Notamacropus eugenii: one gene and its partners. The protein of the gene in region 3 interacts with the protein of the main gene of each other region in a pairwise test. Links are inferred from orthologs where the notes say so. Each region holds a gene or a part of one and is shown on either strand. Other genes may lie near its edges.

The links.
Region 1: the proteins of EXOC1 (region 3) and NUP54 interact in binary tests that used the Homo sapiens proteins (3 or more experiments, as listed by UniProt). The link is inferred for Notamacropus eugenii from reciprocal best matches to the Homo sapiens genes EXOC1 and NUP54.
Region 2: the proteins of EXOC1 (region 3) and SRGAP2 interact in a two-hybrid assay, tested with the Homo sapiens proteins (2 studies listed by BioGRID and IntAct). The link is inferred for Notamacropus eugenii from reciprocal best matches to the Homo sapiens genes EXOC1 and SRGAP2.

What each region holds. Positions count from the first base shown.
Region 1 is NC_092878.1:151,165,466-151,169,212, forward strand, and holds the start of NUP54 (nucleoporin p54), read left to right. Parts: upstream 1-1,469; 5' UTR 1,470-1,566; coding exon 1,567-1,633; intron 1,634-2,017; coding exon 2,018-2,179; intron 2,180-2,626; exon of another isoform or gene 2,627-2,881; coding exon of another isoform or gene 2,882-2,960; intron 2,961-3,747. UniProt on the Homo sapiens protein: Component of the nuclear pore complex, a complex required for the trafficking across the nuclear membrane.
Region 2 is NC_092873.1:433,186,149-433,189,895, forward strand, and holds the start of SRGAP2 (SLIT-ROBO Rho GTPase-activating protein 2), read right to left. Parts: upstream 2,260-3,747; 5' UTR 2,187-2,259; coding exon 2,120-2,186; intron 1-2,119. UniProt on the Homo sapiens protein: Postsynaptic RAC1 GTPase activating protein (GAP) that plays a key role in neuronal morphogenesis and migration mainly during development of the cerebral cortex. Regulates excitatory and inhibitory synapse maturation and density in cortical pyramidal neurons.
Region 3 is NC_092877.1:107,220,121-107,223,867, reverse strand, and holds the start of EXOC1 (exocyst complex component 1), read right to left. Parts: upstream 2,639-3,747; 5' UTR 2,409-2,638; intron 1-2,408.

The sequences.
Region 1 (3,747 bases), on a different chromosome or scaffold from region 3:
GAGGCACCTAGTATAGAGGGTTTTTAAAAGGGTAATATTTATGTGATACGATCTGAGGTCTAGCCTGTCTCTTGGAGAAGAGCTAAGGCTATATCTCTACCACCAGCACTCTAGCTGGGGGACAAGGGGCAGGGAAAGACAGAAGAGGTAAGCAGTCCTCAGGAGTGAAGCCAAGGCTGAATGCTCTTTCAGAAAGAAACGTCTTTGAACATATAGATTAAAATGATATTCATCTGATACCTGGAAAATATTTCTGGCCTAGGGGCATAATGGGTTCTGATCAAAAGTTGCTTCCCTGATTCTTCTTATGGGGGGAGATAGCCACTCACGAACCTGGCTCCTTCCCACCACATGCTGGGGACCCAGAAAACCATCACAGCTCTCAGAATTCTCCAGTAAACGAATTCATGAAAGGAGAGTTATCCAGCAGCAGCAATAGCTGCTGGCTGCTTCTGCCCACCTCAGTCCATCCTCGAGCCCCTGGAGAGATTTTCCTAAAATTCAGGTCTGATCATGTCACCTCCCTACTGCCTCCAGGAACAAATGCAAACAACCGCTTGGGAAAGATCTCAGCAAACCTGCAACTCTAGGGGTCCAGGTAAAGTTTCTCTAGGATGCTCTACAGGGAAGCACGTGCCCAGCCCTGGGACCAGGGCGGGCTTAGGGCGTGGCTAAGGAGGGGCTACTTCTTAAAGGAACAGGCACTTCTGGTATCTCCTGCGCAGCTACTTTACCCAGAGTTCATCGGGAACGAGCGAAGGGCGGGCTCCATGGAGGCGGGGCTTTAGACCTGAACCGCCCACAAACGGTCAGGACTGCCCCCATCAGTGCCCGGTTAGACGAGATGACGTAAGGGAGCAGGCCCACGTCCGAGCCTAGGACACACAGACGTAGGCGCCAGGTCAGGCACGTGACCCGATGACCCAGGCACGGCGAGCTGGATGGGGGAGAGAACGGGCGTTGGTTTCGAGCCGGGGCCCAAGCAGGGGGCACCCCAGCACCCCGGCACCGGGAGCGCCCCGCCCCCTCTCCACCGCCGAAATCGGGCGTCCGATGAGCCCCGCCCCTGCATGGGGAGGGGAAGAGCTTCCATAAAGGTCTCTAAGACCCAATCACAAGCTGATCCCAATCCGCGGGGGAGGGGAGGGCTCTGGGGCGCGCTTTCCCCCTCTTTCCTCTTTGTCTCTTTCGCATTCTTTGTTCGCACGAGGGCAGAGAAGGAAACCTTCGGGAAGGAGGACGGGAGAACAAAAGGCAGGGACAAACCCCCAAAGATCCCCGCGGAGACCCTGGGGGGGCGGGAGGAGGAAGGTACCAGTTTCCAGGATTTGCCCGGGCCGGCTGAAGGATTCACCGTGCGCATGCGCACTCTCCCCGCGCCGCGCCTCGCGTAATACTTCTCGGTGACGTCACAGACGCGACGCGGGCTTCCTCCGAGGCCCCGCCCCCCCCGCCGCCACCTGCCGCTCCGGGAACCCTCAGGCTTCGGGTTGCCGCTGCTCGGCCGGACCCTTCCACTGGTTGCACCGAGCGCCCCGTGAGAGCCGCCGCGGCCCCGGCGGCGCCATGGCCTTCAACTTCGGGGCTCCCGCGGGCGGCACGGCCACGGCCGCCACCCCCGCCGCTCCCGCGGGTGAGTGTGCAGAGCGGGGGCGGGGCGGGCTGGGGAGATCCGCCGGGGACCCCTCCCGAGGGCCGCCCAGGCCTGCCCGGCCCCGCGTGGGTGCGCCCCCAGCTGAGGGCGGGGAGGGGACCCTCGAGGGCCAGCCGGGCGGGGGTCTTCAGCGAAGAGATTCAGGGTCCCCCCCGCCCGGCGCCCGACGTCCTGGGGGAGAAGGGGAGGGGGGACTCCCGCTTGTTTGGGCCGGCGCCCCGCCCCCCCGCGGTGCTCTGCAGTGGGGAGCCGGGGCCTGCCCTCGGGGAGCTGCCCGTCGGACCGGACTCTGCGATGCTTACGTGCTTTCTTTTCTCTCTCTCTCTCTCTCTCCCTCTCCCCCTCCCCTTCCCCGCCCGTCAGGATTTGGTGGGCTGGACGCCGCCAGCTCCACCAACAGTGGGTTTAATTTTGGGGGTTTCGGCTTAGCTGCCAATCCTGCGGTGAACTTTAATATTGGGAATTTCGGCGTTTCCACCAGCGCCGCGGCCCCCTTCAGTTTTGGTAACCCTCTGGCCAGCGCAGGTAGAGAGCCCCCCGTCACCTCGTGGATGGCCTAGCAGGACTCCAAAAATGCGCTGCCCCTCCCCCCGCCCAGCAGGGGTGCCCTCGGGCCGCCCCTCCCCCCACCCAGCAGGGGTGCCTGCAGGCCGCCCCTCTCCCCGCCGGATTGGGCCCGGTGGTCCCGGGGGGAACCCCGAACCCCCGTCCCCGCTGTGGGCTTGTCATCGAGCCAGCCCCCGGAGCCCGCCCCCCCATTCTTGGACTCCTGCGGCCATGTGTCATCGTCCGTCCGTCCGTCCATCCATCCTCCCTTGTCATCCGCGTGCTGTCCTCAGAAGCCGCAAATCGCACAAAACAGCCCCTTCCCTCCGTGTCTGAGCCCGTCAGGAGGGATTGGGTTAGACCCAGACACCGGGTTCTGAGAGCAGCCGCCGGGCCGCGTGATGGGCAGTTGTGGGTCTAACTGGCAGAAGGGCGCGCACAGGTGTGTGTGTACCTGCCAGGCGTTCGGCTGCTTGGACATAAACTGAGTGTTCCGTGCTCTTACCTGGCGTGATCGGCAGCTTCGTGCCCTCTGCCAATTTAAGAAGTTGCCTTCAGAAATGTGTTTGCTGCTTACAGCTAATTTTTGGATAATTCTTTAAATTATTTTGCGAATCCCACGTTGTACGAGCCCCACGTGTTCAGGCCATCCTGTGCCTAACTTTGAGCAAAAAATTTAACATGAAAAATGACAGAAAATTTCCTGGGACACAGAAGTCATGCGTTGTATTCTTCCTGTGCTGTTTTATTAAATTACAAAGTACTTGCGTTCTTTTTAATTCCTTCCAACAAGTATTGGTTAAGCATGTGTACTGGTTGAAGGCACTGTTCGGGTGCTGGGGATTCAAAGATGAACAGGCTGCTCTCAGGGGGCTTACAGTCTAATGCTGTAATACCGTTTTACATGTTAACAGTAGAGGAAAATGGAGTTTTGTGTGTGATTTGTGCTTCTGAATAGAGCTACAACTCGGCAAAAATAAATGACAGTGTTAATTATGGTCTATTTTATAAAATGATTCATTGTTTATCTAAAAACACTGGCATTTCCATTTTTATTGATCACAGTCCATGTGTTATCAAATCACTTACATCACTATCATATTTGTACAATACTTCGCTATTTTTTTTTTTACCATTGACAAATATAAACTAAATTAACTGTTCAGCTTCTTTTATGCTGTGGTAAGTACGTGAAGTAAATCCTCCATTGATGATAAATTGTGCCCTACTGAGCCCTTTAATTATACCTTTAGAAATACTTTTTTACTCGAAATTTCAAAGTATATTCTTGAACTTTGCATATTGAAATGGAGGTCTTCAGCCTAGTGTATCTTGCTGAATTTTAAGTGTTGGAACCAAAACAAGTGAGAATTTGGCCACATATGAGATGTTTGTTAAATTGTCAGCATCTAAAATACTGTCAGGATTTTTTTTAAAAGATCTTTTTAATGTTCATACATGCATGTCTATAATATGTACACACAATATACATGAGATTCTTTTATAAAACAATGTACTGGAATGTTGATGTCAGAACATTTTTATAA
Region 2 (3,747 bases), on a different chromosome or scaffold from region 3:
CCTTGGGTAAATCCTTTAAGTCTCTGGGCCAGTTTCCTGATCTGCAAAATAAGAGTGTTAGACCATCATTTCTCTGGTTCCTTCTAGTTCCAAGATTCTTTGAGTCTACACAATGTCAATGGGAAAAGACTGGAGCGAAAGAAAACTCTGCTGTCTGTGGCAAGGTTAAAGAGAAACCTCAAAGATCCAACTGCATTACATCATCTCAGAGAGCAGTGTTTGTAAATATGCGAGTGTTTAATTCTCTGAGCACACAGGAGAATTTCCAGCATTCCTTTACCAGCTGGATCAGTGGCTAAGATGATTCTATTAACAACACCTTTCAGTCCCAAAACTTCCTAAAAATATATGTGTAAAATCACTTTGTACCGTTGGTCAAATGGGGTGACTCTGAAGAGAACCTGGAAAAGTGGAAGTTATTAACTCTATGGAAACAGTTCTGAACAGGATGTGAAGGAGAGGCACAGACCTAGTTATAATGAGAGGGGGGATTCCAACCAGCAGAACGCAGCCAATCTGGACAGGACACAAAAGGCCAGTGGCCTATTGTTTGCAAAAAGAGTCAGGGCTTATCAACCAGGACAAGAGGCCAAGACCTCACTCAATTCTAACTCGAAGCCACACCCCTCCCAGCCCAGCACAACTGGATCTAGAATTGAGTTAGCTCCCTATCCCTGCTCTAAACCTACTGGGGCTTTCAGTCAATTGATGAGAGAGACCCTTCAGAGCACACTCTGGAGGGGAGCTAACTGAGGAGATAAAGAGATCCCAGCATGGTGGGAACTGCAGATTAAGCCTCTCCAAGCAGAAGGAAGCAACTGGCTTCCCATTTTAAAGCCTCCCAAGCATTGGTTGGAGGAAGGGTTACAAAGCTCTCCCTAAGTCCTCGATGTTATAAAAAAGGTTTCCTAACATAGATACAGGGAGAGGAGGAGGGGACACTTCCCTCTACCCTGAAACAAAGGAAAACCTAGATTTCCAGCCATGTGTTATAACATTCAAGGCCTATTTCCCATCCCCCAGCTGATATCTCACTAGACTGAGGCACAGGGCTATCTCCAGTGACTGATTAGCTAGCCAGGTTGGGTAGCCACACAAATGTTGGTTGTGTGTTCCTCATTAACAGGCAGGAATCCAGGGAAGGAAGGGCAATAAGGAATTTGGGAAGGAGCTCTAGGAATGGGGGATTCACTAGTCAAGTCTATCAGTGGACCTAGGAGAGCTGAGAACTGGTCAGTTGCCTCTACAAGTTTACCTTTTCATTCCTGTTTTGCAGGGAAATAATTCAAGGCTTCAAAATAAAGAAGGAAAAGAACAAAGGGTTAAACACAGATCTTTCTTTTCCTTTTCCAGAACCACAACCCTGGGGAATCAAAATTCAGTTCAAAACCCATGTCACCACATACAAATTCAGGGTGGAGGGTGAAAGGATGGAGGTTGGGTGCCTTGATTTCTACTCTCCACATAGCAGGCTGATCCTAGATGTAGCTGGGCAGGTATGCCTAGCAGCTGATGTTCCTGGACTGTTTTGTAATACCATAGCAAGTCTTACAGTTTAAAATAGCTGCAGTAGGAAAAAAAACACTAAGAAAAAAACCACCCTTATAAACCCAACCTCTGCAGGAGCTTTCCAAATAAAACACCTTCTCTAGGTTGCCTTTTCCAGCCCAGATTAGTCTTCAGGCTGTGAAATGCATCTCCAAACACCTGTCAGATTTCAATCATTCCGAAGACCCAAACTCAAAAGCAGATTACCCCTTTTATCCTTTCAAGAACCACGTGCCCCCCCACCCCCCAGTCTAGGCAAGGTAAGGGGGCACTTACAGTGATGGCCTGGTCCCTAGGGCAGACCTGAAAGCTCTGGAAAATTTCCATTAGTGCCTGTGGCCCCTAGCCCTGCCATCCTAGGGTGGTACACACCCTCATCCCCCTCACCCGACAGTCTTCTCTGAATAAAAACTCCCCCACCTGCTCTATCCAGGGAAATGAAACCTTCCCGACGAGCCACAATAGACTATATTTAAACATGTATATATGTGTGTGTGTGTGTGTACATATACGTGTGTATATACAAGTACATATGAATAGGCGTATACAGCAATTTTCAAAGACCACCTACCTTTGACCTGAGTATCGTATTCTGCTATGATCTCCTTATCCTTTTTGAATTTAGCCGGAGACGTCATGTTTCTTTCCTAATTCAGCTCCCGAATGGATAGATCCACCCGAAAAAAAACCCGGCCCACTCCAGTTAAAATCCCCGAGATCTCCTCTTCCGAGGGCGGCTGGGTCTCCCGGCAGAAGCCAGCGCTCCGGGGAGCCTCAGTCCGTAGCAAGGCTGCCGGCTGGGGAGGCAGCGAGCGGCCAGCGCGGCGGGAACATGCAGATGTTGGCGGTGGCGGGGGCCGGGGCCGGGGCGGAGCAGCGGCGGAGCAGCGGCGTCGGTGTCCTAGTGCCGAGCCCCGAGCCGCAGCATCAGCATCAGCCAGCCGAGCCGCAGCGCCGGGAGGCTGTCCTGGGGACTGACATCAACGGCACAGGCAGGGAGTGGAAGTCCTTCCGCACAGCACCATGGTGTGGGGGTGTGGGGATCCGTGTGCGCCTGACAGTCAGTGTCGGGGCGAGGGTGTGGGGGTGCGTCTGGGCGTGTGTCCGTGTGTGTGTGCGTGTGTATGTGTGTGCGTGTGTGTGTTATGTGTGTCTGTGTGTGTGCGTGGAGGGCTGATCCCAGGCTTGCTTCTTTTTTGGTTTGGTTTGGTCTTACGGGCTCCTGAGATGATGCAAATCAGATCCCAAATGGGAGCTGCAGCAATGCAGGATCGGAAGTCGTTTTCTTCGGTTCACTTGCCTGTAAATGCAGGAAAAGGGGGTGGGGGAGAGGATGGAAAAGGGGGTATCAGCGGGAGTGCAGATACAGATACGCAGGCGGGGGCGGGGGAGGCGACGTCTTCCCAAACTAGGGGCTGCGGAGTCCAAGCCCCATTCACCCCCACCCCAGGAGGGTGGGCAGCAGAGGGGTGGAGGGAGGTGCGGCAAGGTCAAGCTCCCTCTGAATTTAAAGAGACAAAATCCCTTCAAAGCCTCGGCTCGCTCGGAGCCAGGGGAGGGAGGGCTGCGGGGACTCAGCCGCAGCCACCCACCCCACCCGCCCCCAATCCTGCCCGACCTGAGCCGTGCCCAGCCCCAGCCAAAGCCAAAGCCTTCCTGGACCTAGAAGGCGGCCATCGGACCCCGCCCCAACCCCAGTATCTCCCCTAGACATCAAAGGGCGATCAAAAGGCCAGGGCAGGGGGAGGGGGTGCGGATGCAGTTCCCAGCGGGGACGAGCTACTAGCGCACAACTTTTCCTCCCCTTCCTCCTCCTCGTTGTTTTGTTTTTGGTTACTAGCTTCCCTTGGCAGCAAATGTAAAAGGCGGGGGGATGCCAGGAGGAGGGCGAGGTCTGCAGGGAAAGGGGGGGGACCCTACTCTGTACGAGCCACATCCAGAGGAAAAATGTGGCCGGCAGAGGCAGGAAACGGGGCCGCAGAGCCCCGCCAGGACACCATCAGCTAAGCGCGGGAGGGCAGCCCTGCCTTCCCCCAGCCACCCCGCTCCAGCCCAGCCCAGCCGGCCCTGCGGGGATCGGCCCCGCGCGAGAGGGGAGACCCCTCCTCCACCCGCACTCTCAGTCACATCCCCGCCGCCCAACTCCAGATCCCGGAGCCCTCTAACCCCGGGGGCGCATTCTCCAGGCCCGGCTTCTCA
Region 3 (3,747 bases):
TCATCCTAAGGATCATGGGACCTTGTCATCTGACATTGGTAAAATCTACATATGTTCTCTCCCATTAGAATGTGAGCTCCTTGAAAGTAGTGACTGTTTTACTTTTATATTTGTATCCCCAGTGCTTTTGTAGCTTGTAGCACAGTGCTTTTCACATATTAAGTACTTCACTCATTCATTCATTCCCTACTACAACCATCTATTCAAATTCTAACCATTCTTCAAAATCCAACTGGAGTCATAGCTCTTCCCTGAAGCCAAGTCCAAATGGATCATAAATCAAAGACTTAGAACTAGAATGATCTTAGATGTCACCCAGTCCAACTCTCATTTTACAGGTAAGGAAACTAAGGCCTAGAGACGCTTCCTGGTCTACCCAATATCAATTAGTACTATTCCAGCCCATGTTGATTTTTCCCTTAGATCTCTCTAGTATTTAATGTACTATACAATCTGCCACTTAATCATATTGTTCTTTCCACTAAAATCTTAATCTGATACCTCCTCATGGCACAGAGGTGACTCTAAGCTCTCTATGTTTGTGGAATGTAAACTCTGGCAGGTCTGGCATCAAATGGAAGTCTGGCTATTCTTCTGTATTTCTGTCAACTGAAGACTAGCATAGCTAAGTAAGGAGACCCTGAATGCCAGCTTAGCTACCACATACATTTTTTTTATCTACAGTACTTCAAACACCACAGCTAGGACAGAGAAGTTGTAGTCTGTCCTGGAAGAGCTAATGCCTGTCACTAAGGAAACTAAGGATCCTTTAAGTATTTTTCTGTATGTATTTCATTTATTTGTCTTAACTCCTCAATTATACCCTAAGATTCTTTGAAGGCAGAAACTGTCTGGTATTTAGGACTGCAGATTTTTAGCTGGAAGGGATCTGAGAGATAGTTTAGTCCAACTTTTTAATTTATAGATGAAGAAACAGGTCCAGAGAAATGAAGTGACTTGCCCACAGTCAAAAAGGTACCTAAATGGAGTCTTGTACAATGCTGGGCATATAGAAGATGATCAATAAATACTTGTTGATTTGGTTTAAAGTGAATAATGGTAAGAAGGCTAAAAGGTTTCCCCATAGTCAATATGGCACACTAGCAGGAATTTTATCAGGAGATCTCTATTCTAGACCTGACTGCCCACTACTTCAATGTAAGACCTTAGGCAACTTACAAAATCTCTGAGTTTCAGTTTTCTCTTCTGTAAAATAAGTGGTTTGTACTAGATGAATTCTAAGGTGCCTTCTACCTGTAATAATTACTGATTCTAATTAGTTATGAAACAAATGAGAAAATAGATCTCGTGGAGGACATGCAATTTAAACAGGAGATAGTGTTTTCCTACTCAGCTGGAAAAACAGGAAAATTACAAATTACTCCAAAGGTAAAAATACTCAGTTGGCCTCTGGAATAGTACAACTCTGGTAATACAACAAACGTTTCTAGCTAGAGCCAAAGAGTATCTAACTCCTTCATTTCAAACATGAGGAAACTGGGGTCTTTGAGAGGCCAAGGGACCCATCCAAGACCAATTACATTTGCTGTGGGATAGCAGCAGTACCAGGTTAGAACCCCCGGTTCTTGACTCCTACTCTGTGCGCTGGCCACCACTCACTTTTGCCAGGGAACATTTGCGGGAACCACGCATCATTCCTTCTTTGCTGCAGGGAGAGTGGAGAATTCAGGATGCACTCACATAAGGGAAAACCCAGACATGCTCTAGAGCAGGAATTCGTAATCCTTTTTTGTGTGAACATCTTTTGCAATCTGCTGAAACCCATGTATCCCTTCCCAGAATTTATTTTAAAAATTTATAATAGAAGAAGATACTAATTTTCAGATGAAGGTTAGTGAAAATAAAGATGCAGGTTCTTTTCCCCCATATCCAAGTTCAAGGTCCCCCTAAAACTGATCCGCAGATCCCTGTGGGAGAGGTGTCCACTGATCTCAGGTTAACTCCCTGCAGGGCTCAGTGGAAAAGGAAGACTCTGGAGGTACGAGAAAAAATATCTGGCCTCTGACAATGGCTAGCTGTGTGACCCAGGTCACTTCACCCTGTTTGCCTCAGTTTCCTCATCTGTAAAATGAGTCAGAGGAGGAGATGGCAAAAACCACTCGGGTATCTCTGACAAGAACGCCCCAAATGGGGTCAGGAGGACGCTGAACGACAAAAATGACCATTATCCTGTCAGGAAGCTAAGCCCCGGACCCAGGCCCGCGCGGAGCAGGAGCGGAGAAGGCGCGGCCTGAACGCTCCCCTCCGGGCCCGCGCGGGGGGCAGGGCAGGGGCGACGCCGGGGAGATGACGGCCGCGTCTCTCCGGGAGAGGAGCGGCCCCGAGGGGCGACCACGGCCCTTTCCCAAGTCACCGCGCACAGGCCGCGGCCTCCGCCTCCCCCTTACCCGAGCCGCGCCGGGCAGGCTCCTCCGTGAGGGCACCGGGCTGGGGCCGAGGACGCGGCAGTTAGCCGGAGAGCTCTCTCTCTCTCCCTCGGGCTCCGTCTCTCCAGGAAGCTGCGGAAAAGCTCCGGCCCCGCCCATTTCCTACATCCGGTCACGTGATCGGGAGTCAAGCCGGAAGGAGGAACCACAGAGAGGGAGGGAGGGAGAGGCAGAGAGAGACGCAGACAAACACAGAGCGAACCAATAGGGACGAGGCTGGGAGACCCGGGAGGGGGCGGGGTCTGGGGCAGGCCCTCTATCCCGTGGACTTCTGGTCACTTCGCCCTGGAACGGGGCACCTTTGGGAAATCTGTAGTCACCCTCTCAGAATAATATTTTTAAATAATTAAAGGGAGAGCTCAATTTGCTAGTGAAAATTTAAACCCAAACCCCTCTGCCTCAGGATGTAAGCTCCTTGAAGGCTGGGACTGTTTCCTTTTTGTCTTTAATTCCCCATCGCTTGGCACCTCACTTGTTGATGGATTTGGGGTCTTCCAGTTGAATGAGGAAACTTGCTCCTACGGGGGCTGTACCACAGATGGCTACAATGTTTCATTCGCTGAGACACTCAGAATGTTACTAAGTTACATTAAGTATTGTATCTACCTTGTGTAAAGCACTGGACGAGGTGCTGCACCTACAAAGATTAAAAAAAACACGCCTTTGCCCTCGTGGGATTTACAGGAAAGCATTATGGTGACTGAAGCTTTGAGATGTTCTTTGCCTAAGGTCTGAAATTTAAACAGAGATACTTATTTTGCCAGTTTCTTTTTAATTTTGTTGAGTGATTTGTTCTTTTGGGGGCACATGAGATGGGGGTAGATTTAGAATCAGGAGGATCAAGGTTCAAATTCTACGTCAGACCTCGGTTGACAACATGGCATGCTGGTCTACTCAAGCTCTGTTCACCTCAGGCAAATTCCCTATGCTTTACTTATCACATGATCAAAGGAGTTTGTTCCTCACCGCAGAAAACACCTTTTCGCCTTGTTGGCTGAATCCTTGCTGTGGTCCGTCAGGTAAAGATCACTTTTTTCTGGGACTAAAGACCCTCCTTTGCACTGAGAGGACCTCAGTCCAACCTCACTGCTTATCCATCACTTGATGTTACCACTTATCTTTTGGAATGGGAAGGGCTCTCCAACTGGAGGTTCACTGCCAATGCTTTTGTCTGCGCACCCTTGTTCTCTCTCTCTGGTCTGTCTATGTGTGCTGTACACACATATATCCAGAAGAACTCCTAGGCGACCTTTAATGTTGTTTATCCCTGAAGTTGTTCTGAGGATAAAATTAAAAGAAT